Struthio camelus: one gene and its partners. The protein of the gene in region 2 purifies or fractionates together with the protein of the main gene of each other region. This does not show direct contact. Links are inferred from orthologs where the notes say so. Each region holds a gene or a part of one and is shown on either strand. Other genes may lie near its edges.

Evidence for each region.
Region 1: the proteins of AP3M1 (region 2) and RABL6 purify together in Homo sapiens (co-immunoprecipitation; 3 studies listed by BioGRID and IntAct, counting the BioPlex papers as one, with this or other methods). This does not show direct contact. The link is inferred for Struthio camelus from reciprocal best matches to the Homo sapiens genes AP3M1 and RABL6.
Region 3: the proteins of AP3M1 (region 2) and AP3B2 purify together in Homo sapiens (co-immunoprecipitation; 3 studies listed by BioGRID and IntAct, counting the BioPlex papers as one, with this or other methods). This does not show direct contact. The link is inferred for Struthio camelus from reciprocal best matches to the Homo sapiens genes AP3M1 and AP3B2.
Region 4: the proteins of AP3M1 (region 2) and AP3S2 purify together in Homo sapiens (co-immunoprecipitation; 3 studies listed by BioGRID and IntAct, counting the BioPlex papers as one, with this or other methods). This does not show direct contact. The link is inferred for Struthio camelus from reciprocal best matches to the Homo sapiens genes AP3M1 and AP3S2.

The regions. Positions count from the first base shown.
Region 1 is NC_090961.1:13,366,844-13,373,805, forward strand, and holds the start of RABL6 (rab-like protein 6), read left to right. Parts: upstream 1-3,957; 5' UTR 3,958-4,433; coding exon 4,434-4,563; intron 4,564-6,291; exon of another isoform or gene 6,292-6,962. Other genes in the region: protein AMBP, read left to right, coding at 1-114, 534-710, 2,154-2,185. UniProt on the Homo sapiens protein: May enhance cellular proliferation. May reduce growth inhibitory activity of CDKN2A.
Region 2 is NC_090948.1:25,427,959-25,434,800, forward strand, and holds the start of AP3M1 (AP-3 complex subunit mu-1), read right to left. Parts: upstream 3,011-6,842; 5' UTR 2,874-3,010; coding exon 2,871-2,873; intron 1-2,870. UniProt on the Homo sapiens protein: Part of the AP-3 complex, an adaptor-related complex which is not clathrin-associated. The complex is associated with the Golgi region as well as more peripheral structures.
Region 3 is NC_090953.1:25,247,730-25,255,386, reverse strand, and holds the start of AP3B2 (AP-3 complex subunit beta-2), read right to left. Parts: upstream 3,014-7,657; 5' UTR 2,986-3,013; coding exon 2,756-2,985; intron 1,741-2,755; coding exon 1,665-1,740; intron 1,574-1,664; coding exon 1,499-1,573; intron 1,193-1,498; coding exon 1,097-1,192; intron 917-1,096; coding exon 756-916; intron 498-755; coding exon 431-497; intron 330-430; coding exon 147-329; intron 1-146.
Region 4 is NC_090953.1:675,401-683,293, reverse strand, and holds the start of AP3S2 (AP-3 complex subunit sigma-2), read right to left. Parts: upstream 3,019-7,893; 5' UTR 2,898-3,018; coding exon 2,829-2,897; intron 2,289-2,828; coding exon 2,197-2,288; intron 2,079-2,196; coding exon 1,967-2,078; intron 1-1,966. UniProt on the Homo sapiens protein: Part of the AP-3 complex, an adaptor-related complex which is not clathrin-associated. The complex is associated with the Golgi region as well as more peripheral structures.

The DNA of each region.
Region 1 (6,962 bases), on a different chromosome or scaffold from region 2:
TCTTCTACAATTCATCCTCCATGGCCTGTGAAACCTTCCTCTATGGCGGCTGCCTGGGCAATGGCAACAACTTCTACTCAGAGAAGGAGTGCCTGCAGGCCTGCAGGACAGAGGGTGAGCGGGATAGTCTGGCAGCACGCTCCCTGGCCAGCCGCAAGAGCTCAGGGCTTGGGGCTCGGGGGAGCAAAGCCAGCCTAGAGGGAGATGGGGAAGGAGAGTGTGGAGGATAGAATCACAGAATCACAGAATGGTTGAGGTTGGAAGGGACCTCTGGAGATCATCTAGTCCAACCTCCCTGCTCAAGCAAGGTCAAAGCGTCCCACCAGGGACATCCTGGTGGGCTGAGGGCATCATGGAGAGAAGGTGCAGGAAGTGCCTTTGCAGAGGCAGCAGAGGGAATTGGGGGCATCTGAGAATGGTCTTGCCCAACATCTGTGTGGGAGGTACTGGTGTGCACCTGGGGTCAGCACAGCACCCTGGGCCTGAGCCCCTGGGACCTGGCCTGCCCTCAGAGCTGCCCTGTGTCCCTGCAGCTGCCTGCAGGCTGCCCATCGTCCAGGGTCCCTGCCAGAAGCTGGTGATACGCTGGGCATTCGACGCAGCCCAGGGCAAGTGCATCACTTTTAACTACGGAGGCTGCAAGGGCAACGGGAACCAGTTCTACTCGGAGAAGGAGTGCAAGGAGTACTGTGGAGCTCCCCCGCTGGGAGGTATGGGCCAACCTGCCCACACGGCACCATCTCTCCCTTCCATACCACCGCTGTCATGCTTGCAGGAAACCAGGGCAGCAGCCGGGGGGACCTGCTTGCAGCACCTCTGGTCATGCTCTCCTCTGGGTCTGGGTGTGCTGGGTCTGCCTGGGTGTGGGACAGATCAATCCAGGGTCTGGGATGGGTCCATTCTGGGTCTGGGACAGGTCCTGGGTCTGGGATGGGTCTATCCTGGGCCTGGGATGCATCTGGAACAGGTCTATCCTGAATACAGAATGGGTTTGTCCTGAGTCTGGAATGGATCTGGGATGGATCTGTCCTGGGTCTAGGATTGGTCTGTCCTCAGTCCAGGATGGGTATGGGATGGGTTTGTACTGCATCTGGGATGAGTCCATCCCGGGTCTGAGACTCTGATGGACTGAGGAATACAATCATTTTTCTGCAGACAGTATCAAGTAGGGGGATTATAGAGGCTGCAGAGTTGCTGAGACCAGGTTTGGACTTCAAAATATCTTGATGAAAGGGTTCTGAGCAGGCTTCAGTGCAGCAGGGAGCACTGAAGCAACAGCCTCTTTGCAGGGGATACCCAGCATAGCACAGGGAGAGAAGAGCAGCTGAAAGATTTGGCAGGGTTGGAGAACCTCACAACAAATGAGCACCAAACTGGGGTCTCAGTTTGGGGTTTACCCTCCATGCGATGCTCGCTGGACCCTTCTGCTCTAGTTGGTACAGGGACTTCCATGTCAGAGCCTTCTGAGAAGTGGTAGAGTGAAGTGCTGGGGAGCAAGGCCAGGGCAGACATGGAGTCTCCATCACTGGGGGATTTCCAGAACGGGAATCTATCAGGACGGTTGCTCCTGCTGGGGGATGTTAATGCATCCCCTTGCCCCACCAAGCCCAGCCCAGCCCATGCACCCAGTGGCTGCCCTGCCTCAGTGTCAGCATACATGGCCCCTTCGCACCTCAAACCCATCCGCCTGTGTCCACCTGAGGAGACACAGTCCTCCAGAGCCCATGGTAACAGACACTGTTCGGTGCTCAGGACAGATGGAGGAGCAGTCAAATTTTCCTGAGTGTAGCAGCGGAAATCTTAGTGCAGAGAGGGGTGACCACAGGGATGTCTGATCATGGCCAACCCCAGCTGAACCTGCTCCCAGTATGCCAAGTATCCTGGAGCTCGGAAGGCTGCAGCACACCTCTGAGCTGAGCTCCCATGTGGGGCTGCTCCCCTCTGTGTCAGGCACTGCCTCAGGGCCACTGTGCCCCACTGCAGGGGCTGCATGAGCATCGATGGGGGCCAGGAGCCCAACACCCTCAAGTGCAAGGGGGTGCATGGAAGGTCCCTACTGCTTCCCAACCATCCCTGATGGCAGGGACAAAGTGAGCAGCACACCATGGGGTCCACAGGTCTGGCTGTCACACCATGCACTTCTCTTCTTGCAGAGGAAGAGGAGTTTCTGCATTTGTCGAACTGATGCGGGGCAGAGGACGAGCTGCCTGCACCCAGCGCAGGAGCCCTGGCCACGCAGGAAGGCGCTGGGAGCAGCCCTGGTGCGTCGCCTGCACAGCCACGGCCCTGGCCAAGCAGTAAATGTCTCTAACGTGACTAATGAGCCCAGCGTGTCCATCCGGAACCTGCAGAGGTGCAGGGAGGGGTGGGGGTGGGAGTTCCAGGAGGGTCTAGGTGATGCTGTTGAATCCTCATTGACTTCCCCTACTGGGTACCCCCATCCTGTCAGGGCTGCTGGCTGACCCGCACTGAGCCTCTGCCTCCTGCCCCTTTCTCGGTGCTGGGGTAGCCAACGTGTGCCGGAGGGGGCTCAGGGCTTCCTGCTGGATGGGCTTCAGCCCCCCCGTCTCCCAGGGGCTGATGACAGGCAGCTGGGAAGGGGGCAGCGGGCACCTCCCTACAGGCAAATAGTTCATATGGCAGCACAGCAGCAGCAGCAGGAAGGGCCCAGCGGGACTGCAAGCCCCCCGCAGCTGGCACTGTTTCTCCCTCAGTCTCACTCCTGCCAGCAGGATGCTGGCGAGCATCCCGGAGGACAGATGCAGGGAGCATGCCGCCAGCCAGGAGCACAGCAAGGGAACTAGCTGGAGCCAGGCTATCCTGCTCCTCCCCAGGGCGCCCTGCTCCATGCTGCCCCAGGTCCTGGGCAGGTTATGATCTCATGGGAACTGCAGGCGGTACCCAAGGTGCCCCTTTGCCCAGGGGATCCTTGCAAGCCCAGGGCAGTGCCAGCACTCGCTGCCAGCCTCCTCGCTCGGGGTGCTGATCTTAGTGATGTTCAGTCCCAGGTCAGCATTGGGCGAAGTCCCCAAGCCATGTCATCGGGACATCGGTACCTCTGCCCTACACCCAGGGCCCTGGGTCCTTATTGGGGGCTGCACCCTCGAGACCAGGTCCCAAGGACCCGGGGCACGCACATAGGGAAGCTCCGGGCCCTAGGGTGCTCACAAAGTCGAGCGCCCCGGTGGGGGCTGCTGTCCCCTTTTACCCTCCGATCCTGCCGTGTCCCCCCACATCACGGCCCCCTCCAGTACCCCCCAGGCCATGACGAGGCATCTCCCCTGCCCCATCCTGGGCCCTGCAGGAGGGTGGGGACGGGGAGCGGGGCGGGAGGTCAGCAGGGGGTTGGGGGGGCCACAGTAAGGGATCACAGGGAGATGATGGGAATCGCAGGGGGTCATGGGTTTTATGGGCAGTTATGGGGGTGTCATCGGGGGTCCTGGAGGGGGTCATAGGAGAGCATTAAGGGGAGTTAGGGGGTGCCATGGGGGGCCCTGAGGGGGGCACAAGAGGGGGTTATGGGGGGGTTATGGGAGGTCACAGGGGGGCCCTGGGGGGTCACAGGGGCTATGAGGGGTTACAGGGGGTCATGGGGATCACAGGGTCACAGGAGGGCTTATAGTGGCTATGGGGAGCCAGGGCGGGATCCTTCGGGGTCACAGAGGGGATTATAGGGAGTCACTGGGGGCTACGGGGGGTCACTGGAGGCCGTTGGGGGATCACGGCAGATCCGGCCGGTCGCAGGGGCCCTGAGGGATCCGCGGGGGGGGGGGGGGCCCTCGGAGGAGCCCCACAGCCGATGTGCGGTTCAGCCCGCAGGGTCCGGGGCCGCCCCGACGGCGGCGAGCACCGGCACCCCCGCGGCCGCCCGGCGGGCAGCGCCCCCGGCCGGGCGCGCTCCGCCTCCCCGGCTCTGCTGGCCCGCGCGGGCCTCCGTAGCCGGCGCTACCGCCTCCCGGCCCCTCCGCGGCGAAGCGGAAGAGGCAAGATGGCGGTGGCGGCGGGAGCCCCGCGCCGCCTCCTCTCTCGGCGCCCGGCCCCGAGCGGCGGGGCCCGGCGGGGCTGAGCCGCCGCACCGGCCCTACCGCCACTCGCAGGAGCTTCTCCCCGCCACCCTGCGCCGCCCCAGCCGCGGGCCATGCCCGGCTAGCGCCCCTTCCCCCAGGCACGCGGCGGGGCCCCAGCTGAGCCCCCTTCCCCGCCGCGTCGCCCCGCCGGCGGCTCGAGCCCGCAGACCTGCGCCCTGCCGCGCCCCGGACGCCCCTCATGGCCCCGCCGGCCCTGCCCCAGCCCTGACTTGCCCGTGGCCCTGCCAAGCCGTGACCTTTCCTATGCCCCCCCCGGCGCCGTCTTGCCCCTGAGCCCCGGAGCCGCGGCCCGTTCCCTGGAGGTGTCTGAAACGCCGGTGGTGGCGAAGGTGGGGGACCAGGAAGATGTTCTCGGCCCTGAAGAAGCTCGTGGGCTCGGACCAGACTCCGGTCAGAGACAAGAATATCCCTGCAGGGCTGCAGTCCATGAACCAGGCTCTGCAGAGGAGGTTTGCCAAGGGAGTCCAGTATAACAGTGAGTCGGAGCCCAGCTCCTGGGGAGTCACTGGCGGGGGACAGAACAAGCCCCGGGTGGGAAGCAAACCTCAGCGGTGGGTCCCAGCCGGTGCCCGGGGGGGCCTGTTTCCGGGGGCCCCTGTGGAATTGTAAAATGCATATGCTGTTTGTCTTGCGGGGTGGTGCTTTTGCCAGTAGTTGAAAGCCAAGTATGCAATTAAGTGTTAGAGCATGCAGAAACGTGGGCAGAGTAAGGGATGGTGAACTTTAAGTTTTTGTGCCAGACTTAGGAACCTGTGGTGCAGCAGTGTCCCCAGTCAGCAGGAGATGTCCTGAATGCCTGCATGCCTTCCGCTGACTGTGATACAAGAGAGAATTTCTTGTAAATCAGTTTTAGCCAGTTGAAGCATCAGGAGCATTATTCCCCCAAGTGTGTGGGTGACCTTCTCTACAGCTCTGGATAAGGCTATTTACAATTAAGCTCTAATGGTTATATGGTCAGGGACTTTTGAAAAACTCTGCCTTGTTAGGCTTTAATAAAAGGTGAGTGATGGGCCCCTTTAACTACCTTGATACATAATTTCATTATGATTATCTCTTTCTGTAACTTATACATTTGCTCTTTTTTCATAGAACACTTTCAGAATTATTTTCCTTTCAGTATTGAGGTGCAAGGTTGCCTTTTTCCCTTGAAGCTCAGTAAAGGTTATTTCTAATATGTTTCAGGAAGGCACTGCAAGTATGTGAAATACATCCCAAAGTAACAATTGTGATAAGGAGGAGGATATATATGTAATCCTTGCTGAAAATAGACATGCTGCTTGCAGTGCTCTTGTGTTATTAGCTTGTCTGTATGGGTCTGTGCAGGCAGTGAAGTCGAATTGCAGAAGACTGAGAAATGAGCAGTTTGGATTAAGACTGATTTGTAAACATGCTACAGAATAGTTTCTCTAAACACACACATGTTGGGGGAATAGAGATTATGCTATATCGTAATCTGAAACTGTACAGGAAGGGAGAACTTAGCCCTTCAGAGTTTGGGGAGGGTTTTTTAGTGTTATCATGATAGACTGCTTTTGAATTGATGTGTTTTTGAAGCTCTCTACTCTAGTAGGGAGAACATTTGGTGCATTTATCCAGATCACATCTGTGGAATATGCTAAGAATAGTACTTAATTTAGAAAGTAGGGTCTTAGCAAGCAGTCGTGAATATGAACAGAAACACACCGTTTCTGTTAAGAGACTTGATCCCTAATGAAAGATTAGGTATGAGGATGAAGCTATTATACCTTGGCATATAGTGCTGCATTGTCAACCGTATACCTGGAAAATCGCTAGTTAAAGACTGTTGATCTCTGCAGAGGCTTTGTGGAGCCTACAGACCAGAGTGCATTCATGTGCTTACTGTTAAGTGTTTAAGATCAGGTAGCTAATGTCAACTCCTTTTTCTTACATAATTTGAAAGTTGATTTTTGTGGAGGTGAATGTTTGTGCTACGTACAATAAAGATCAACTGCATCTTGCTGGCGCAAAAATAGAAGGGGATAAATCTTTGTGTGTTGACTAACTGCATGGTTGAGTGACCTGTGTGTATGTATACCTTCTTATTAGTAATACAGCAGGGCCAAAAATGCAAACAGCTAAGCTACAAACGGTAGCTTGGGTTGCTTTTTGTCTCGTTACAGAAAGCCTCTGGAAAGCTTTTTGTTTTGTGCCCTGTCTTGACAGAATTTGTGTTCTAATTACTGCTTTTATATCTATAATAAAACTACAGCTTTCTGTCACTGCCCTAAGGGAAGCTTTCCAATCTCCATAGTAACTCTTCCCAGTGATGCTATTATATAATATTTATAGGAGATACAGGCAGTCTGCTGAAGAGTTTTGAAGTACCCTACATAGCCATGGCAGTTGATAAATAGGATGGGTTCCAGCATTTTGAAGGAATGTCATATACAAGTGCCATTGCTAAGGGAAGGGCAGAGCTGCAAATCCTGTGTTATCGTCAATGCACCTTTTTTTAGCAAATACATGAAATTCAGTGTGACATTCAACAGGGGAGTGCAAAATGTTTTTTGTAGTCATCTTTAATACACACAGATCTTTAGAACTCTTTCTTTTTCCTGCAACTGCATAGATCTAAATTAAAGGGTGCCGCAATGACTGGTTTTACAGAAATGTTTCCTTTACTGTCATGAACTGAAGCGTGTTTCCTTACCAGAAGTATTTGTAGTATGCCGAGATTGCCTCGGATTTCTTACCGATAAAGCGGGCAGCAAATGGACAGGATGTGGGCCTTATCGCCTGGCTCGTGATGCCGGCTTGCTGTGCAGTTCAGAACAGGCAATGCTGTGCCAGCCTTCACGGCTATCAAGTATATTTCATAACCAAACAAACGCCTATTTGAGGTGAAAATGAAGA
Region 2 (6,842 bases):
CACGTGCAGGACACAAACATGCTCACCTTCAGGGGGTCCTTGCCATCTCTTAAATACCTCCTGTAAAGAGCACAGTCTTTGCTGGTAGATGTACAAAGAGCAACAGTCAATACATGGATGGAGAAATCCTATCAAGCCAACACGGTGCATAAAAGGAGTTTAACTTGGAAACTGTAACTGTCAGTTTGCTTAGGAGTAGGAAAGGAAACAAATCTACAAACTAGTACTACTGCAAGTTTCCACTATACCTTTCATGGATCAAATTCATCTCTATCTTTGTTAAAAAAAGACAGACAACTTTTATACTGCGAGCACAGCATTCTTATAAAGGGACCTTAACACAATTGCTTTAATCCAGTTTAACCAAATGTGTTCCGAGTTTAGCCAGTGCTGAACATTAAACCCCTCCAAAATCTCCTGGATAGTCACACAACAGTGGCAAGTATAATCAACCACTGAATGTCAGTATTGTTCCACACCAAGGCAGCCCAAACATATGAAGGTGATCAGCTATAAAGCTCAGAATAGTTCTCTGTACATTTTAATATGGATACAATAGCATATCTGTTAAAGATAAAGCCCAGTTCCCAGTAAATGCACACAGAGCTGCATAGGAGAGTGTCAGTATTAGCAGCGCTAGTGCGGGCTGCACTGATAAGACTCCCATTTCCAGAAGACTTGATCTATAGACCGCGGTGAGGGAACAAGGCTGGACTGTGGGGCAGCTGTGGATGATACACTGGCAAATATACTTGGAAGTGTTACAGGCTACTTTTAGGCCCCAGCAGTTGTCCTGATGTTAAAGCTCATACAGATTCTATTGATCAGAAACCATTGCATTTGTTACTACACACTTGAACAAATACGGCAGTCCAGCATGCCACCATAATCGCTAACGAACTACAGTCATTTACTTATGCAGTGATCACAGCTGGCTCTGCTGGTAGATGAAATGACTGTGTTAGCATAGCCACTTTTTTTGCCAGAAATCCCACTTACAATATTAGACCATGACTTGATATGCAAGAGGAGGGCCTGGGCAGCCAGAAAGGGCAGCAGCACTTGACCACTGCCTCTATCTACTCATTTGTGTTCCTGCCCCAAGCAGCCCAGATGCTAGTTGTGTTCATCCGAGTGTTTGGGCTGCCATGTGGTAAACTGGAATAGCAAACTGATCCGGAGGACCACACTTGGCAGATCACGGCTTTACAGCACCTGTGGAACGCTGAGCAGCAGAAACCCACCTGACTGCCTACCACATCTTCTGCAATTTTTACACAAATTCCTATTATACGTTATTACTTTACTTCAAGCACAAGAATTCCCTTCAAAACCCCACACATTCCCCCTTTCCTCCTTCACAAGTTTCAGCAGCACGTTGCTAAGAAATGTGAGTTGAAGTGCTCCGGAAAAATGGCAGCTCTCTCTGCACAGACCAAGCACAGAGCAGGCAGTGCACACTCTGACAGCAACCGGCACAAGGCTGGTCCTACGGGTAACTGGGCAGCTCGGCTTGTTCGCTTCTCTCTGCCGCTGGTGACAACAGAGAAGCTCTAGTAGCGGTGGGAGGATCAATCTGTTAGGTGCAAGACCAAGTCATCTGATTTATCCCATACACTGCCAAACAATTGGCATCAGCCAATTAAAATGGATACTGATGATGGATATCTTATGTAAGCTAGTATTTAACAAAAATTACTTACAGGACTTCCAATACAGAAGATTTCCCAGCTAATCTATTTTTTGAGTGCCAGACTTCATTAAGACATTTAGACATCCCTGAATTCATGTCTCATTACCCTACCTTCTCCTTCTATCTCACAAGAGCTTTGGGGGAGGGGAGGGGGGGGGAGATTAAAAACAGTGCAAGACAAGAAATCAATCCAGTAACAGTACGATTCCTTATACCAATAGGTCAAATAAATGACACAAGTGGCCAGATAGCAAAGCAGGTTAAGAACTGGGACACTTTGAAGGTAAAGGTCTCGAATCAAATTTCTTAAGTTTAAAAAACAGTAGTGAAAGCACATGACCAAAATTTAAGAACTGTCAAACCTTTGCAGTACTGTACACAGAGACCACTTTGAGATGGCAGCATAAAAGCAATAGATGTAAAACACTAAAGGCGTATTTCTAGGAATATTTCAAAAGGACATATCTCCTCTATCTCTGCTTTTAGGCATATTCGAAAAAGCAGACTAAAGATGTGCATGGATTATTACTTTCATCTTTAGCCCAGAGCAAGCCATTCATGCTCATTTTTAACAGACTAGCAGCCTTCGATTGTGAGTGATCTCACAAAGCACTGCAGCACACGTAACCCAGCAGAGGTTCTGCAGTTTCTTTTCACAGATTTCCCATCCTTGCCAAGAGCTCTGACATATGAAATTCCACAGGCTTCTCTTTAGTCGCTTCTGTTCTACCAGAATTAGAAGAACTACAAGTTCTTAGCTAAGGTGTCTTCAGTATGCTGATTCCAATTCTTTATCTTTTCTTTTGATTAAATTTGGATATTGCAATTTCACTCTTTTCTCTGTCTCTTGGCAGAGAAACATCTGGACTAAAGTCACAGTAAGTTCACAAGATGAAGCAGTGCTCACTGGTAGAAAGGAAAGGCTGTGTTCATGGGAACAACACTGACAGCATATGCTTGTCCTCAGCTACAATTAGGTACTCTAAAATTTAATTAATGCGGAGATACTCTTGCCAGCTGCTTTTCCATAACACTGAGCTGAGTTACAGTCAAAGCTCTGCAAACCAGGAAGTAAGGAATTAATCACTGGCCTCTGCAACGCCCTTTACAGCTAGTAATAATCACTGAGACTGTCTCCGTATGGGATGGACTATAACAAGTAAAAGTCTGAACATACCATCACTTGCAAAGTATTCCAGAGCTTCTGTGTTCCTGGTATTTAGTGCAGCTGCCCTGAATGGTGGAAGGATTAGCGGGAGTGGATTGTCTGAGCCTCTGTTATATATTTGTGGAGATGAAGTTGTAGTGAAAAGCCCTTAACAGAACGGAAAGCAATCTAATGCTTAAAGTAAACTAGAGAAATGAATAAACCTAAATAGGTAGGTCTGTTTCTATTTTGAAGCTAGTATTTTTGTCACAACCAGAACGCCAGCAGTTCAGCTTGTTCTTATAAATTCAGGATTGACACATGACAAAACCAGACAACCTACATTTCCCACCTCCCCAACCCCATTCACCAGCTCTTAAAGCAGCAAACCTAATGAAGAAAAATCCTATCGATTACTTTAATGACATTTACAAGACAGCCAGCGTTTCAGCTCTGAACACACATATAACTAGTTGGGACTAACCGGGATACAGCATTAGTAGTTGTGATTCAGTATTCGTGATTCAAGATGATGCACCTGAAAGTCTCAGATCTCATCAATACGTGAGTGTTCTGCAACTACCATTTTTGCAGGGCTCCTCTCACTGTTGGCATATGTTACTGCTGCTACTCAAGTATCATCAGTCTTTTCACTTACAGGATACCACAGCTTAGGTGTCCATACTATTAGGGTGAAATATATTTGCAGTCATTCGTCTGAACTGCTTGGTGTCCTTCCCTGTTATTCAAGTGGAAGTCCCAGAATCAAAGCAATTCTAATCCAAGATCATCAAGTGCTTGTGTCTGTACAGTAACTGCTTAGATGCATATTTTATCAGCAGGGTCATCCCTGTTAAAAACTAACCAGTCTGCATCCCAGCTGCTCAGTATACATTTATCTATCTTCACTGTCATTTAAAACAGTGGTAATAGCTTTCTGGAATTCTTTCTGAAAGGAAGTAGTCCTTTAAGAATACTATGAAATTGTCTTAAATCAGTATTTAGTATCCATAACAACCTTTCCAACCACCTCCATGTTTTTTACTAATAACAAACACAGTCTGCCTAAGAATTTGCGCAGTATTCCATCTACTGAGAGACAGGCTTTCCAATAATATGTTTGCATGCTGCCTTTGTTCAATTTAGTTTCAGCATAAATCCTTTAATTGCTGGCAACTGCATATAGTTCCATCTCTTGCCAACACCAAAATATTAGATCCAGAACAACTGAACAGTATTAGATAATGAATAACTGGCATTCCCTTTGGGTTCTGCAAGAACTGAAAGCTTCACTGTAGAAGCTGAAAATCCAACGGAGTTGCTTAGAAAAAAAAAAAAAAAACCCTAAAAACTGATTGCTAAAACTACATTTTTTACATGAAGATGGAACAGCATCTCTAACACAAATTACATCAAAATCAGTTGATTTAGGACTATTAAGGGACCATTTAAGAAATTCATTCTCTGGAAATGCTACTGAATAAACAGATAGGGAGGACTAAATTGACATTGATAGGGTCAACGTCTTGTCACATTTCCTGTCAAAGGGATTTTCAGGAACAGACTGATAATTAGGCTCATATTCCAGTCAAACCAGAGAACTGTGACTGGCCAGGGCAGCAATATTCGATCACAGGAAACAAAAGCCTTGCCCTAGTAGCTCTTTGGGAAGATGTTTTCCATCATGCTGTCCCAATACACTGCTCCAGCAACTGTGACAGGCTGGAGAGATAGTGCCACCAGCTTTATACTGCTCTTTTTTCATACGCTCTATTTTAAGAGGCACTCTAGGTTCAAGAAAGGACATGCACAACGCCCAAAGGGCCACGCAGTACTGAAACACTACACCAGAGACAACCAGTATCACTGGAACCCTGCTGTCAATGACAGCTCTTACTAAGGTGTGTGCACTATGCCACAACTAGTTCAAAATCCAGATGGCAGAAAGAAGGCAAACTACCATTTTTTCCTTCCTTTCTCTTCCATGACAAGAGCACAGAGCTGCACTCCTTGATTTTACCATCTGAATGAATAAAATCAAGCTCCATAATAGTGAATGTTAAAGAGTTCCGCGCAGTTCCCTTTAAAAAGCAGCCTTTGATGCATGTTTGTTGAATAAACATTAAAAGGATTTCACTTGTTTTCTGTGTATTACTTAAGTTTTGAAAGCAATGTAGGAAATAAAATGAGTGAAAACAACAGGAGAATAAGAGGAAGAAATTCTACATTTTAAACAGGTTTAATCAGGTTTCTTCCTGTCATTACAGCTATGAAGTACAGCTGCCACTTGTCACCTGCTGTTCATGCTTCTCTACCTCAAGGACTTCAACTTCTTCTTCAGAAATAGAAATCTTATCATGAGAATTTAAGATTGCCTAAAGCAGAACTGCTTGTAAAGGGAGTTTTGTCTGAAGGAGTAAGCGGGATTTAAATGTGTCATAGTTATTTTGCACAACAGAAAACTTCATTTTTGGGCAAGGACAGCAAAATTAAGCACTAGAGAGTGTGCAAGGATCTTAATATTTAATTTGCCCTCTGTGAGGAATTTTCAGGCAAGTGCACAGGGACTGGAAGCAATCTACTTATTCCATTTTTTCCAAAACCAGATTTGTTTGTGCTTTGAGTTAGCAACCAACATATCACAGATTAAATTCTTGACCATTAGAATGGAATACCATTCATTTTTTTTTCTTTTATAATAAAAGAGAGGCTATGTACAATTCAAACCTCCTAGCAACAGCTGGCTGAACCTTTCTCATGGCTGATGTTGTCAGTCCCTTTGTAAAACACTGCTTCCATCATCATACCTCTTGCATGAGTAATTTGATTTGCTTGTGCTTTTCTTGCAAAATAGCTTTTCCTCACCCATAATGCAGTCTGCCTTCTATGAACATGAACGTTCATTATTTGTTATGATTTTTTGGCTTGGTCGTTTATACAACCGCTACACTTCATGGTGAACCGCTTATTTCTGTTAGATCCCCCTACATTGGGTACAAACCATTCAGCATACTGAAAAGACGGTAAGTGCATTGTTACTTCAAAACACATTAGCACCCCTGAAACAAAACAAAAGAAGCTGCAACCTCCAATTACCCTGTTACAAACTGAACAGGGCAGAAGTGATGTGGAGTACACAAGGAAGGATGATAATGGAGTGATTTCTAGCATACAGCACAGAAATGTATACTCACAAGGACCCTGGCTAATTAAGCAGGCATAGCACGAGCAGATCCACTGGGTCTGCAGCAATGATGCTAGAGTAAGATTTGGTGAGCTGGGTGCTACCCCTCCTGCAGCCCACCTGCCCCCATGTCTCTTTGCTGCAAATTTCTCATAGAGCCTTGAACAGCAGGTCCTGCCTCCTTTCTCCTGGGAGGATCTGCTTAAGCAGGCCCCGTACCAGAACAGACCCAGAGCCTGAGAAACTCGGACGCGTAGGGGAAGGAAGGAGGGAGGGAGTAGAGGGCAGTCAGTAGTCTGCTCAAACCAGTCAGCCCCAAGGGCAACGCATGCATCTCCTGCGCACCGGCCAGGGCTTGCCGTAGGGAGCACCCCAGCTTGGCTGAGATCTCCTGGTCTCTAGCAGCTGCTCTCTACTACCTCAGTTGCACTGCGACTAACTCATTTATATTTCCAAGCATAAACTAATGTTCGGGGAAAAAGTATTAACAACAATGTACTGTTTTCGTCTTTTTAAAGCGGATTCGGAGAAAGCCAAGGAGTTGTACAGACACAAGAAAGGCACTAAGGTAACAAATCTGGGGGTGGGAACACATCCGCTAACTTACTCTCCAGGGGAGCCACAGCTAACTTTACAGAAGGGTAACTGCTGAGGTAAAGCTCTTGCCCGCGTGGAGTATTTGATCTGTCCCCTTCTCCTGTAAAAAGGAAATTAAGACCTCCCTGTGCATAATCCTCCTTCTCATTAGCACTTCTCGTTTCAGAGGACCATCTACATAAACTGTTTCAGTTGGACACGTGCACAGAGCGAGCTACAAA
Region 3 (7,657 bases), on a different chromosome or scaffold from region 2:
GTGCCTGGACCTGGACATGGGATGATGGAGCACTGCCTGCTCTGGGGGCTGTCTGGGGACCCCTGAGACTCCTCCAGCGGCAGGTGCTGGGCCCCAGGTGCTGGAGGGGCTCTGGCACGGCTGCGGCACCGGGCGGCTGCACTCACGTTCTGGTTGGGGCTGAGGAACTGGGTGCGTGCGTAGCGTGTCAGCATGTTGATGATCACCACTTGGCCCCACTCCTCCACATCGATGAGCAGGTTGCAGAGCTTGCGGTAGTTCTTGTGGATGAGGTCGATGCGCTCAGGACAGACCTCCTCGAATGCCATCACCACACTGCCAGCCACCAGCTGGAGACATAAGGCTTGAGGGTAGCTGGAGCACTGGGCACTCACTGGGGAGGGCAGCATCCCTGCGTTTTGGAGCAGGGGAGATGGGGCTACCCACTCACCGTGGTCTTGTCTGCCAGCAGCTTCTCGATCACTTCGATGAGCTGGTCCTTCTGGTCTGAGTCCAGGCTGTGAGGGGAGAGCAGGGTCGGCATGGACAGGAGCACGTCACAGCTGAGCCAGTCCCATGGGGCTGGCGCTGCCTCGAACTACCCCATTCCCCAGCCGTCTGCCCGCCAATGCCAAGCAGGCAGGACCCCAGCACTGTTACCCCAATGTTGCAATATAACTGCAGGAAGAGGTACAAATCTTTAAACGAGTTCTCCTTGTCCTCAGCATCACCACGCCACCCCATGGGGCCCCAGTCGGCCCACAGCCCCCCATTACCTGTACAGTTTGGGGATGGCGTGGGCGGCCGTCTTGCGCACATATGGGGACATGTCCGATGCCGCCTCCTTGATGGCCAGCATCATTATGGGCACGATGATGGGCACGCGGATGCTGGAGAGGACCCGCAGGGCACTGGCACGGATCAGCTGGTTGGGATCCTGCAGCAGACATGCACAGCACTGCAGTGAGTCGGGATGGGCTCTTGGGCCCCACCAGAACCCTCCGGGATGGGGCTTTTGCCAGGGGAAGGATATAGCTGGAAGTCCCCCGGGGCTGCCCAACCCCACTGCAGCCTCCTGGCCCCAATTTTGCCCCCCAAAAGGAGTCAGATCGCCTACCTTGAGTCCTCGCTGGAAGGTGGAGATGGAGAGCAGGGCCAGGTCCTGCTGCTCCTCAGCGTAGCGCACCAGGTACACATACACCAGCTTCTTCACCTGTGGGCCGCGTGGCAAAGGGTGGCCAAGGTGGCAGACATCCCGCGGCACAGGGCCTCCCCCAAGGATTACACCAGGACAGCTGCCACACCAGGACAGCTGCCATCACCTGGTGCCTCCATCCCACCCAAATTCAGGCCACGCTAGCCCTCCCCAAAGCCTTCCTAATGCCAAAGAGCATCCCTCCAGGGACCACTCCAGACCTGAGGACATCGCTGGGTGTCAGCCCCTTGCTCTCCCCGCAGCGGGGTCACCCGGCAGTTTCTTGCCACGGGCCATGCATGCAGCGGCTGAGATCTGCCTCACCTCGATATTCTTGCAGGCCACATTTTTGACGACGGCTGGGAAGAGATCGGAGGCATTCTTCCCACGGGCGATCATCTAGGGAGGAAGGAACAGCGTGACACCAGGCACGCAGCCTGAGCGAGCCCACAGCATGGAGTCGCCAAGCCCGTGCCACGGCAAAACTCACCGCCACAATCCTCTTCATGGCCTCCAGTTTGAGCGAGTCCTTGTTGCTATCCAGCATCTCCTTGAGGTCATCATGCCTGTGGAGCACCCCATGCACTGAGGAGCTGGCTCTTGTCCCTGGCAGCCCTGGCTGTCACCCAGTGCCCACCTTGGAGGGTCCCCATGTGCGTGCTGGGCACCCCACAGCCTCCAGCACCCGCTGCCAGCACTTGCCAAAGGGTAGCAGAGTGACCCTTGGGTGCTCAGATCGAGGAGAACCTCAGCTGTGGGACAGCTTCCCCCTCAGGCATGTGGAAACGCAGGAAGGAGAGTCCTGTTTTCCATTTTATTCCCTCTTCCAACCTGCTCCCAGCCTGGCTCAGGGTTTCCCTGGAGGCAGAGGGCACTAGCTTGGCTTTACCCCCTTCCCATGGTCAGGCTGGGGCAGGAGAGGTGCCTGCGCCAGGCTGGGAACCCAACCCACAGCTGCTCGTGAAATATTTATCTGGGCAGGAATTCAGTTACAGGCACATGGAAAAGGACGCCGCGGCCCTGGGAGCGTTGCTGGGGCGACTCGCATGGGCTGAGGTTGTCACTCGGGGCACTGTCAGCTCCTTGTCACCAACATCTCTTTTTATAAGGCTGGCTGGCACAGCTGTCCCCGCGGTCCCCGAGCTGACCTGGCGACATGGCACCGCTAGGCTTGCAAGGCTACATCCAACTGCAATGGCCCCTTCCCAAATTGGCCGGTGGGGATGGGAGCTTTCCCAAAACAGCACCGATTTGCACCAAAAGCACCTGAGCATTTGGAGAAACAGTGAGCTGAACGCTCTCCGTCAGTCCTCGCCATCCACGAGCGCACACCGGTCGCTAAACGAAGCGTTACGTCCTAAAACACTCAACCGTCCCCGAAACCCCGGCCGCCGGGGGTTGTACCCGCCTGGAGCCAGCGGCACCAGGGCTCCCTGGCAGGACGACGCTCGGCACGAGCCCCCGCCGCCACCATCCCGCAGAGCCTCGCGGGCACGGCGCCCGGCCCGCGCTCCCGCGTGCCTCCCTCCCGGGGCTCATCTCTCTCGCAGTCGCCCGGCGGGCGCTCGCGGGGGCCCTTACCGCAGCGGCTGCGGCTGCCCGGCGCTGGCGCCGCTCTCCGCCGCGGGGCCCTTGAGCAGCTGCAGCTCGTCGGCTCGCAGGGCACTGTAGCAGGCCTGCTGCCCTCCGTCGGCGGCCAGCACGGGGCTCCTCGCCTCCTCGGCCGCGGCGCCCACCGCCGCTCTCCCCAGGCCGCCCGCGCTGGCCGGCAGCTGCTGCAGCAGCTTCTGCATCGGCGCCATCGACAGCATCACCTTCGGTCGGGGCAGCCGGCGGGCGCAGCTCCCTCCGACGCACCTCCGAGCCGCCCGTTGGCCCCGCGCCGGTGGCGCCGTGGCCCCGCTGCCGGCCCGCTGGGCTCTCTGGCATGCCGCGGGCCCCGCTCCTCCTCCCGGCTGCGCCCGCCTGCAACCTGATGCTGCGGCGCCGGGCGGCCCCTCTCGTGCCAGCCGCGAGGGCGGCCGCGATGGCCCCGGCCAACGGCGCGTCGCCCGGCAGGGCCAGGGTTTCGGCTCATCTCGGGCTGCAGTGGGGGAAGGCGCTCGGTGGGGACTCGCTGGAGAGGCCTCAGCGCTGGCGGCTGCCCCGCTCCCGGGCCGTCGCCGGGGCCTGGCACTGTGCAAAGGTCCTCCTGCCCCAGGGTCCCCCCCGTCACCCTGAGCCCGAGGTGACACCCAGGGCCCCGTCCTGCATCCAGGGACAAGGCTGCTGCCTCGCCAGGTGGGACGGTGCCGCAGGGAGCTGCTTCCGTGGGCATTTCGAGTGGCTTCGTGGGGGCACAGAGCCCCCAGCCCGCGGCCGTGGTCTCCCTCAGCCACCGCCAGCCCTAGCTGGGCACCTCAGTCACCAGCCCATAAGAGGGGACGAGCGGGTGGTGGAGGATGTGGGGCACCACGGAGGCCCTGACATCCCCGAGAGGATGCCGGGACGGACGAGGAGCCCGGGGCAGCCCGAGACCTTCCCCGCGTGCCGGCCGAGGCGCCGCACTGAAGAGCTGGGGCACCCCTGGGCCCCGCCAGCGGCCCTGAGCCCCCACCTCCCGGAGACGGGCCGGGTGTCATCCAGCTGTGAAGGGACAGGAGGACACAGGTGGACACGCCATCCCTGGACAGAAAGCACAGCACCATCTAGTGACTACGCGCCTTGTTATGGCCACATCCAGGAGTGCTAATTAGTCCAGCCAGAGCTGCCCCATGGCACTGGCTGCAGGGTCCCCCGGCTGCACCCCAGCCGTCGCTCCTGGGCGCCGGGGTGGCGCATGGGCCCTTTCCCTGCTCCCTGCCCCGTGCCTCGTCCCGGCCGGGCTCCGGCACCACCCGCGAACCCGGCAGGGTGTCCCCCTCCGGTGCGTGTTGCGAGGCCTGGCTGGGCACCCCCGTCCCGGTGGGGACGCGGTGGGCAGGACCCACAGCCGCCCCCCCACCCACGGCAGGTCCAGCAGCATCTCCGGCCCGAGGCTGCCACCACGGGCGTGAGCAGGGCTGGGGGGATGCTGCCGGCCTCCCTGCGCTGCCCGCTGCAGAAGGGCTCCGGGGAAGGCAGCACCCGGGGGACGGGGACACCGTTGGTGGGCGCAGGGCTGGGGGATGCCGCTGGTGGGGGCAGGGTTGGGGGACACCACCGCTGGGCGCAGGGCTGGGGGATGCCACTGGCAGGTATAGTGCTGGGAGGACACTGCTGGTGGGTGTGGGGTTGGGGATGCTGCTGGTGGGTGCAGGGCTGGGGGACACTGCAGGCGGGTGCAGGGTCAGGGGATGCCACGAGCAGGTACAGGGCTGGGGGACACTGCTGGTGGGTGGGTGCAGGGCTGGGGGGACACCGTGGGTGGGTGCAAGGCTGGGGGACGCCACCAGCAGGTGCAGGGCTGGGGGGACACCGCTGGTGGGTATAGGGCTGGGGGACACTGCTGGGGGGGTGCAGGATGGGGGGACACCACCAGTGGGTGCAGGGCTGGGGGGACACCACCAGTGGGTGCAAGGCTGGGGGACACCACTGGCAGGTGCAGGGCTGGGGGACACCACGAGTGGGTGCAAGGCTGGGGGACACCACTGGCAGGTGCAAGGCTGGGGGACACCACTGGTGGGTATAGGGCTGGGGGGACACCACCAGTGGGTGCAGGGCTGGGGGACACCACTGGCAGGTGCAGGGCTGGGGGACACCACCGGCGGGTGCAGGGCTGGGGGACACCACCAGCGGGTGCAAGGCTGGGGGACACCACTGGTGGGTGCAAGGCTGGGGGACACCACTGGTGGGTGCAGGGCTGGGGGACACCACCAGCGGGTGCAGGGCTGGGGGGACACCACCGGCGGGTGCAGGGCTGGGGGACACCACTGGCAGGTGCAGGGCTGGGGGACACCACCGGCGGGTGCAGGGCTGGGGGACACCACTGGCAGGTGCAAGGCTGGGGGACACCACTGGTGGGTGCAGGGCTGGGGGACACCACCAGCGGGTGCAGGGCTGGGGGGACACCACCGGCGGGTGCAGGGCTGGGGGACACCACTGGCAGGTGCAAGGCTGGGGGACACCACTGGTGGGTGCAGGGCTGGGGGACACCACCAGCAGGTGCAAGGCTGGGGGGACACCACTGGTGGGTGCAGGGTCGGGGGACACCACCAGCGGGTGCAGGGCTGGGGGACACCACTGGCAGGTGCAGGGCTGGGGGACACCACCAGCGGGTGCAGGGCTGGGGGACACCACTGGTGGGTGCAGGGTCGGGGGACACCACCAGCGGGTGCAGGGCTGGGGGACACCACTGGCAGGTGCAGGGCTGGGGGACACCACCAGCGGGTGCAGGGCTGGGGGACACCACTGGTGGGTGCAGGGTCGGGGGACACCACCAGCGGGTGCAGGGCTGGGGGACACCACTGGCAGGTGCAGGGCTGGGGGACACCACTGGTGGGTGCAGGGTCGGGGGACACCACTGGCAGGTGCAGGGCTGGGGGACACCACCGGTGGGTGCAGGGCTGGGGGACACCACCAGCGGGTGCAGGGCTGGGGGACACCACTGGTGGGTGCAGGGCTGGGGGACACCACTGGCGGGTGCAGGGCTGGGGGGATGCACGGGCAGCCCTGCGTCCCCCGCGATGCTCCCGCTCCCGTCCTGGAGGGCTGCTCGGCGCAGGGGCGCCCACCACCGTCCCTTGGGTGCACCCGCCCGGCGCAGCCCGCCTCGGAAGAAGCCGCTGCTCCCAACCCGCCCCAAAACCCGGTGCCTTTGCCCCAAACGCCCCTCGGCCCCTCGCTGGCCTTCGCCCCCAGCGGAGGGGGAAGCGCAGCCGAGGCGGCGGCGGGGGCCTGCGTGGGCCACGGCCTGCCGCGCTGGGCCGGCGACCGCCGCCGCCCTTAGCATCCCTCCGTCCTACCTCTTGTAGTCGGAGGAGAAGATGCCGCCGCTGGCCGGGTCGTGGCCGTACTCGGGCTCGCCCAGGCTGGAGGAGCCGCCTTTCTCCTCGCTGTAGGCCGGGCCGGCGGCCATGGCGGCGGCCTGCGGCGCCGGAGCGGGATGCGCGGCGGCGGCGGCGGCGCGGGATGCGGCGGGTTGGGATGCCGGGATGCGGCTGATGTCAGGATCATGTGGAGCCGCCGCCGCCGCCGCCGCCGCCGCTGCCGCCCCTTAAAGGCGCAGGGGCTGCCGTGTCCCCCCCCGGGGCCACCCCCGTCCCCGCGTCCCCGGCCGGGCCGGGCCCTCGCCCTCCGCCACCCCTCCAGCGCCGGCGCTGGGTCCTCGCGACCTCTTCAAACCCTCCCAACGGGCAGAAAACCGCCTTGGCGGGTGCCGAGCAGAGGGACGGCGCCCGCAGGCATCTCCCCGGGGCCGGCTCCGCCGGGAAGGCCGGCCGGGATGGGGAACCGGCGGCAGACCCCAGGCGGAAAAATAGAGCGAAGCGTGGCGGTTAACGCTGCTTCTTCTGCGGGAAGCCCCGGGTGTTTCCCCAAGCGAATTTCCCCTCCGCGTCTCTTCAGAGGAAGCGGGCTCGGGCCGAGCCTGCGATTGCGAGCTGCTGGCTGAAGGCCCGGCCCCACGGCCACGGCCGGCGCCCGCGGCGGCGCGCGAGGCCGGCCGGGGCTGCCAGCCCGCCGAGGTGGGCTCGGAGAAGCAAAAGCGGCGCGCCGTCGGTTTTGCCACGCGGTTTCTTCCAACGTCTTCGGGGGCGAGATGTGGGGTTGGGGGGGAGACACCCGCTCACACCGCCCGGCAGCTCCCCTGCCAGACGAGGCGCCCGTGAGCCGGCGTCGGAGCCGGGGCCGCCCCGCGCCCGCGGCCCGGCGCGCTCACCTCCCCGCCGTCCTCTCTGCAGTCGGCCGAGGGCAATTCGACCTGCCGGGGAAAGGCAGCCGTCAGCCTTGGGCGGGGGGCCGGGGGATGCCGCCGTTCGGCAGGCCGCGGCCCGCGCGGGCGCCCTGGCGGGATGGTTGCCGCCCCGGCAGCGGAGCGGCCACTTGCCCCCTCTGCTCACCAGGCTCAGGTAGAAATGCACCAAGTCCAGGAGGTAGAGAGCAAAATGAATGCAGTTGTTGGTGACGAAAGAATATTTGGCTTCAGCGTTCATCGCGCCCCGAACTTTATTTTTGAAACTGCTGAGGTCGAATCCGTCCTTTTTCCTGTAGATTTCGCATTTCCCCCTCTCTCTCCTCATGGCGTGGTAACCCTCCTTGCTGATTCGTCCGTGGCCTCTCCGAACGCTCGTGTCTGGAAAGGGAAATTGCAGCCACAGCCGCGCGCCGCCTCCTTGGCCGGCAGCGGCCCCGGCCAAGGCCGAACCCCCGCAGGAAGCAGGGCTCCAGCAGCCAGCCAAGAGGAAGATGGTGGCCTTCCTGCACGGCCCCAGACCGCCCGGCCTCCCTGCACGGCCCCAGACCGCCCGGCCTCCCTGCACGGCCCCGGACCGCCAGGCCTCCCTGCACGGCCCCAGACCGCCAGGC
Region 4 (7,893 bases), on a different chromosome or scaffold from region 2:
TGCACAGAGCAGGCTGAGGGGGTTAGGCAGAGCTGCGAGCAGGATACGCGCAGCGAGCAGCCAAACAAGGAGGCCTCTTTCCGCACAGGCACTGCCCAATAGTGCTGGGACGACCAGACACGCTCTTAGTGCCAGCCCGCACTAAACCACAGAAACCAAATCAAAAAGCCCACATCAGCTCCAGACCCTAGGAGAAAGTTTGTCTTGGCAAGAGGCATGTGGCTGGAACATAAGCCTGGCCCTGGCTGAGCCTGCTGTGAACGGACTGCACAGCTGGTGTAATACCAGCAAACTCGGAGGGCTCCTCCTCCAGCAGTGGGTCACGCTTCCTCTGAACTGTTACTTCTACCCAGTTGCTATTGTCTTCAGTTGTTCCTGGTACTACCCAGGGCAACCGGAACCTCCAATTTCAAGGATGTGGTTTGAACCCAAGTCCAAAGAGCCTGGCACAGGGTAAAGCACACTGAAACACGGAACTTGGCCGTTCTGGGGGAAAAAAACAGGTGCCAACGTTCTGATAAACTGCAGTCACAGGGCCCTGACTGGGACAATGGCTAGTCATTGTGTTCTTCCACAAGGGCCAGGCTTGCAGTCATCTAGAACAGCTTGAAAGGGTTGAAATATGGGAACTACATGATCACAGCAGGTGATCCGAGCAGGGCATGAGCCCTCTTGGAATCAGGAAGGACAACTGAGAGATGTTGGATATGTTACAGTAGGACACATGAACAGGACAAGCGTGAAACGCTCTACAGTTGGGAACTCTTCTCCACAGACAATTCCCAGCTGGGAAAACTTCATTTCTAGCTTAGGATCTTTGAAAAAAAAAAAAAAGCTAGAAAAGGTGATTTAAATGGTAACTGCCATGGAGCTACTTTCCAGAGTTTGATAAGAGTGTGGAAGATGACTCCAAAAGGAAAAGCCTGCTCCAATGGGACAAAATATTAACTCTGTCACGTGCTGGTGTGGCTTCAAACTTAAAAGGGAAGAAAGAGGAACTTGTAAAAAAAAAAAAAAAAAAAAAATCAGAGACTGATCTGCAGAGGAATACTCTCAAAACTCATCAAAAGTAACCAAAGGCATAATTCTAACATTAACTAAACTGCATTAAACTGCTATGCAGACACTCTCACATGTGCCTTTAATTGGATTTAGCAGAGGTCCCTTTAGAAGCCCACATAGTGATTGAATAAAATTTTTAAAAATTCACTTTTTAATAAGTTTATTCAGACTTTCCCCAGCGTTTCCCTGCAGACAAGTTTTGAGTTATGTATCAGCTAACACATGTCAAGCAACACCCTCCCCTGTCTGAGCTCACAAGAGAACAGTTTCTCAATCACTCCCAGGAAGCTGTTATAGACATGTAAATGCATCTGGAAGGTTTAGAAGGCTGGACCTTCTGGCAGTAGAGGAAAGCACCCAACAGCCTCTCATGGCTAAGCACTTTGTCAGAGCTCCTGGTACTACTAAGGTGGAGCACGCAGAGGGCACAGGATACCTCACATCAGTGGCATACTGCTGATGCAAGGCTCTCCAGGGGCTCTCGCTTCTAATACCTTCCCTTTTAACATTGACATCCCCTCCAGACTCCTGGATTCAGGGATGTCTCCTGCACTGTCCACAACTGCACCCAGCAGGGGCTCAGCAAGGGCCCTGGCAAGGGACACGCTCTTGAAACATGATGTCTAGCCCCTTTCACACTCATTTCAACCAGCCTGGAAGGGAGGGTCTGTAACAGGATATGCAGGAGGGACTCACAACCTACACTGTCCTGCTGCTGGCAGAGCAAGCGTCTGCATCTCAGCACATCCAGCTGCTCTGGGGAGTGTCTCCGCCCAGCAGCGGCCAAAAGCTCAAGGGCAGAGAAGAAACAGCAACCCGCTGTCCTGGTGCGGGGTGGGCTCCACTGTGTGCATGCTCACTGTGGCCTCCCTCTGGCAGCAAACTTCACTCCAGAGAGACCAACCTGGATGAGGTCCAGAATGCCCAGCTCGCTCTCCGAGGAGTCCACACAGAAGACGAAGTACAGCGTAGCATAGTGGCGGTAGATCAGCTTGTAATCCGAGCCACCAAACAGGCTGCAGAGACACAAGGAAGGGCTCCAGCAGCAGGAGGGAGGACACAGCCCGGCTCCTCCCAGCCAAGGGGAACCTGCGGCACAGCTGCCCTCCAGGCAGCGAGGGGCGTGAGGGTTACCTGCCACACTCCAGGAAGTTGCAGATGTGGTCATCCCGCTTGAGGACCAGGTGGAAAGTCTCTCGGATAATTTGCTGCTGAACTTCCTCTGCCTGCAGCGAGGCAAGAGCAAAGACCCATGGGCCTGCCGTCTGGGAAGGCACAGAGCACCCACACCCCTGCTCTCCCCCACTGCTGTGGGGCCAGCAGAGCCTGAGGGACACGGTGAGCTGGCAGCTCTCGGAGCGAAGGGGAGGCCACAGCTCCCTGCAGCCCTGGCACCACGGGAGCAGCCGCTAGGGCAGCCCCCATGACCTGACTGTGGGACATCCTGAGGGATTGGGTTGGGGCGCTGGGCTGAAGCGGTGCCTGCAGCCGAGCGTGGGCAAGACCCCTCAGCCCCACGGACACGCAGCGATCGCCCCAGCCACGGGCACCCTTCCCGGGGCCACGGCAAGCCCTGCACTGGGCCCAGCCGGGGGGCGACTGCAGCCCGCACCCCCTCAGACCCGAACTAGGCCAGCCCCGCCAGCCCCACATCGAGCATGCCTCCCCCTCACACCCCACGTTGGGCCCGTCCCCCCCCCCCAACCCGGACCGGCTCCACACGGGCCCGGTCCCGGTCCCCCAGCCCCGCCGCGGCCGGCCCGCACCAGGCGCTGGTAGAAGCGGACGAGCCGCGGCTTCCCGTGGTTGTTGAACACCAGGATAGCGCTGATCATGCCGGCGGCGGAGGGGCCGGGGCCGGGGCTGGGGCCGGAGCCGGGTCCGAGGCCGGGCCGGAAGCAGAACCGGGCCGCCCCCGCGGAAGCCCCTCGCCCGCCCCGGAAAGGCGGCGCGACCTCGGGGCGGTGCCGGGGCCCGGCCGCCCGCCCCGGGTGCCCAGCTCCGCCTCCCCGCCAGCCCCGGCGCTCTGGGCCCCGCTCGGGGCCGGGCAGCGAGGCCAGCCCCGCGCCAGGGGCTCCGTGGCGGCCCGGGCCCGGCCCCCCCGGGACCGCAGGCCGCGGCAGGCCGCCGTCGGGGCTGCGGGAACCGGGCCCTGCCTCGCTACCCCGGGGCAGAGCCCCGCCGCGGCGGCCGGCGGCCCCCCGGTCCGGTCCGGTGCGGTCCGGTCCTCGCGGCGAGGCCCGGGAGCGCCGCGGCCGGTTCGCCCTCCGCCCCCCTCCCCCGGAAGAAGCAGCCGGGGCGCCGCCGCCCCGTCGCGGCAAGGCCAGGCCCCCCGCGGGCCCGGCCCGGCCCCGCTCCCGTCGCCTGTCGCGACAGAGCCCCGACAGGCAGCGTCGCGATGGCGGCACCCGCCTGCGCCGCTAGGGGGCGCGCGAGCGCCGCGGCGACGGGAGCCGCGCGGGGCCACGCCGCGGCGGGCAGCGGGGCGCGCGGGGGCGGGGCCTCCCGGCCAGGCCACGCCCTCCCTGAAAGGGCCAGCGGGCGGGGTCAGGGGTCACCGGGGAGGTCAGGGGTCACGGCGGGACGGCGGCCGAGGCGGCGGCGGCGGCCTGGTCGCGGTGTTCCGGCGCGACGCCCTGCCCCGGGCCGGGAGGCCTTCCCGCCCCGCGGCGGCGGTGGGCTCGCCTCCCGCGCAGGCTCCGAGGCCGCCTTCGTCGCCCCCGCTCTGCCGGGGCCGCAGCGTGGTCTGGGCCGCCTCCGCCGGTCGGAGGGCAGCGGCAGACAGCCCGGCGCGGGGCTGTCGTGGCCCTCCCTGCCCCTCCGGCGGCGGGCGACGGCTCTGCCCTCCTCCGCGAGGCTGAGCCCGCTGTCCCGGCCCGCCGGCGAGCAGCAGCCCTTACCCAGACCGGGGGACTGGGCCCGGCGCAGCCGGGAGCGACGCCCCGGTCGAGGTGGAGGAAGGAGCACAGGGCTCTGCCCCCTCCCTCGCCGCAGCCGCCGCTCCCCCAGCCTGCAGCTGGGCTGAGATTGTTTCGGGGATAAACGGATCGGAGCTGCTGCGGGCCGGCAGGGGGAGGGGAGCCCATTGTCGGGAAGAATGCGATTCTGCGGGCGCCAAGCCGCTCGTTCTGGGCAGCCTTTGTGCGCGGCTCGCCCCGCTGAGGGGTGGATGCTGCGCGCTTACAATGCGCTTTCATCGGCGGAGACAGGCGCAGCGCTGGCGTCGGGCCTCCCCGCCTGAGGCCCCCGGCGCGGCACACGGAGCCAGGCAGCGCCCCAGCTCCCAGCGCCCGCCCCGGGCACGGCCGCAGCGCCGCATTTCAACCAGAGCTCCGAAACAACAGGTGAATTTACGAGGGAAGCGTGGTGGTGTTTGCGAGCCTGGGGGAGCCAACGTGCACCGCCATCACCCCTGCGCAGACTGCCGCCCTGCCCGGGGCCTGGGCACCGCCAGAACGCCCGGGTGTCTCGCGGCAAGGGCTGGATTTTGCTCCCGGCCTGCTGTGGCTGCACGGACTGGGAGCTGGCGCTTTGCGTCCTGACCCAACAGGTCCAGCTGACCTACCGCACGGACTGCTGAGCGCTCCTGCCACCCGGCGCTGCTGGTGCCCCACAGCTCTGCCCTTCAGGGAACACCTTTTTATGGGAGGACACCTCAGCTGCCAGCAGTTTTCTGTACTGAGCTCACTCCCCAGGGAAAGGTCCCGGGATCCGTCAGCCCCGGTTGCCATAGTGTCCCACGGGGTGGTCCCCTCTGACCCTGGATGCTTTTCAGTGCCTGCTTTCCCGGACACCGCCCCCTCCGCTGCATGTGTGGCCTGTGCTCCGCCCCAGATCAATGCTTCTCCACTGTATCTCATCCTTCTGCTTACATTGGAGCGCCTTTGAATGGGCTGAGCGAGCCGGGCTGCTCTGCGGGACGACTGCTATTTATCATGCTGCCAGCCTTTGGATTATCCTCAAGCCATAGCAGTGAACGTTTCATATTTACTTCTAGATCATCAACCAAAACAGAGAAGGGGATCACACATAGAGCTAATCCCTGTGAGCCCCTCTAGAAACTCCACCACTGGATGGTGACCACCTGTTGACAAATATTTTTTAGCATCTGTGAATGAGCTCGTTCTTAGGCTGTTTTAAGAGGTATTTTGAAGAGGAAAGGGAGAAAGCGTAGCATATGACAATTGCAGTTGGATCCGGTGCTTTTTATGTACTAGAAAATCAAAAAGAAAGCAGCAAAGGGCAGATGATCCAAGATTAATATAAAGGAATAGCACAAGCATGTAGGGATAGAATCAAAAAGGCCAATGTATGATATGAGTTACAACTAGCAAGGGACATAAAAAGCAACAAGAAAAAGAATTCAATGTGCTGTACAAACGTAGTAGAAGACAGGGGGAGACAGAGGAGAATAAAGATCTGTTACTTAACAAGAAAAGGGAGTAAAATAACCAAGGACACATAGAAAGCCTCTTTGCTCCAGTCTTCATATGAAAAGGTTCATTGTCACCAGAGATTTAACAACTAATTTTAACAAAGGGAGAAGGCCAGCACGGAGAAGAGCCAGGTGAAAGGATATGGAGGTGCATTTGGTTTGGGTCAGGGTGGCCTGAGAAACCACCCAGAGCAGACAAGAAGTTAGCCAAGATCCTTGCGGAGCCATGAGGGCTCTGGTAGAAAGCTCCCAGAGGAGGAAAGGCCCAAAGGGCTGGAGAAGGGTGAGCACGAAACCCATTCTTAAAAAAGGCACAGGGAATCATCCCTGTGGACATGGTATCATCCTGGCTCCCAGCGTGAACTAGAACAAATCATTAAACAATCAATGCACATGCCCCAGAGGATGATACGGTGATAAAAGATAGTCGGTGTAGATTTTTCAAGAAGAAATCATGTCAACGCCAGCCTGACTTCCTGCTGTGGCAGGGTAACCGGCCTCGTGAATGAAGGGAGAGCAGTAAATACCATACATCTTGATCTCAGGGAGGCTTTTGACACTCTTCCACGTGATGTTCTCATAAGCAAACTAACAAATAGCACTGCAGACACAAAAACATCACATGATGGTTCGGCTGCACCCAAACAACTGGTTGACAAACTGCACCAAAGAATGGCGGCTGTGCGTCAGACGAGGTGGGCGCTTCCCACGGGTCTGTCCTGGGCTTGTTTCTAGTCCATATATTCATTAAGGACTTGAACGATGGAGTAGAGAACACACTTACAAAAACTGCAGATGACATCAAACTGGGAGGGGCCAGAGGCACTGGGGAGGACAAGCTCTGAATTCAAAAGGATCTCGACAAATTGAAGACATGGTCCAAAATCAACAAGACGAAGTACAATAAAGAGAAGTACAAAGAGCTAGTCTCAGGAAGGAGAAATCAGATACACAGACTGAAGAATAACACCACCAGCAAAAGCAGCGCTGCAAAGAGGATCACCACCTCTGCCTCAAGGAAGCCACTGCACAAGGCTGCTGCACGAAGGGCAAGTGCCGCCCTCGGCGTGTCGCACGCAAGGCGGGACGGTCACGAGCCCGCCGAGCATGCGTTGAGCCCAGCTGGAGTCTGTGCCCAGCGTGGGACACCGTGCTTCGTGGAGGAGGAGGCCAAATTAGAGAGTCCGGAAGTGAGCAAGGAGAATGACAAGAGGCCCCGAAACCCGGCTGTAAGGAAAGGTGAGAGGAAGGAGGTGCTTTAGTTCTCCACGCAAGCTGGCTGAAGGGAAACATGGCAGCTGTCTTCTGCTACATGCATGGCGCTACAAAGGCAGCACAGAAATCAGCTTAGATGGCAGCAATCTCAGCCGAGCGTCAGGGAATAATTTCAGCTGCTCTGGCCATGAAACGTCCCAGTTCGGCACCGGCGGGTGGCGAATGCACTGCACTAGATAAGACCCTATGGAAACGGTTCAGCTAGAGGCTGTTACCCGTGCCACGACGCGAGCCCCTGCGGGCGGGTGGGCGGGCGGGTGGGCTGCCCCGCCAGGCAGCGTGGGTGCGACCAGCCCGATGGTGGTGCCGCCCCCAGGCGCCCCACGCACGTCCTTGCCTCGGCCGTGAGCGTCAGTCCCCGCGGCCGCAGGCTCCTCCGCCGGCGTCCCCCAGCCCTCTTCACCTCCGTGCCAGCTGCTGGCCTCCCTCCGGGCTCGTCCCAGGGAACGTCCTCCAGCCCTCCGAGGACGAGAACAGGTAAAAACGCTCACTTCGCCCTCTCCGCGCCATTCAGAGGGCGTTTCACTGAGCGCCGCACCCCTCAGACCCTCCTCGCCGCCTCCTTTCGGCGAGACCCTCGTCATCCCTCTGCTTCACAGGCGCGCTCTCGCCTCCCCTCGCGGTAACGCCTCCCGCCCTTCTCTTGAGCGGCGCCTGTTCTTTGTGCTCTCTCCTCTATCCCGCTTTATGCCCTATTTTAAAGCGAAAAGCCTTACCTGGAGAGGTAGGTGGGTTCTAGACACACACAAAAGTTGAGATCGTTTGTGTGAAGCAAATTTACTTCAGCGGGATGTACGGACCTTTAACTTTTTGCAAATATTTGAACGGCAAACTCCACCTGCAACAAAGCTCATCCAGGAAGGATTACAAACACCAGCGCAAATGTCTCTTTATATGAATATTCACATTAGATGAGTTTGGTTTTTGAAAGTACTTTGAACTAGGCCAATCGGAAAGCAGAAATAACGTCATATGAGTTGCCTGACCAGCCCTCCCTTGCACAGTGGATATGTGAAGCAATGGTCACAAACATTTGCAGCTTAAACATATTGACCTGATCAGATTTCAAAAATACAAATACATTGAAAGAATACAAAAATATCAGAAATGAAAGCCTGTAT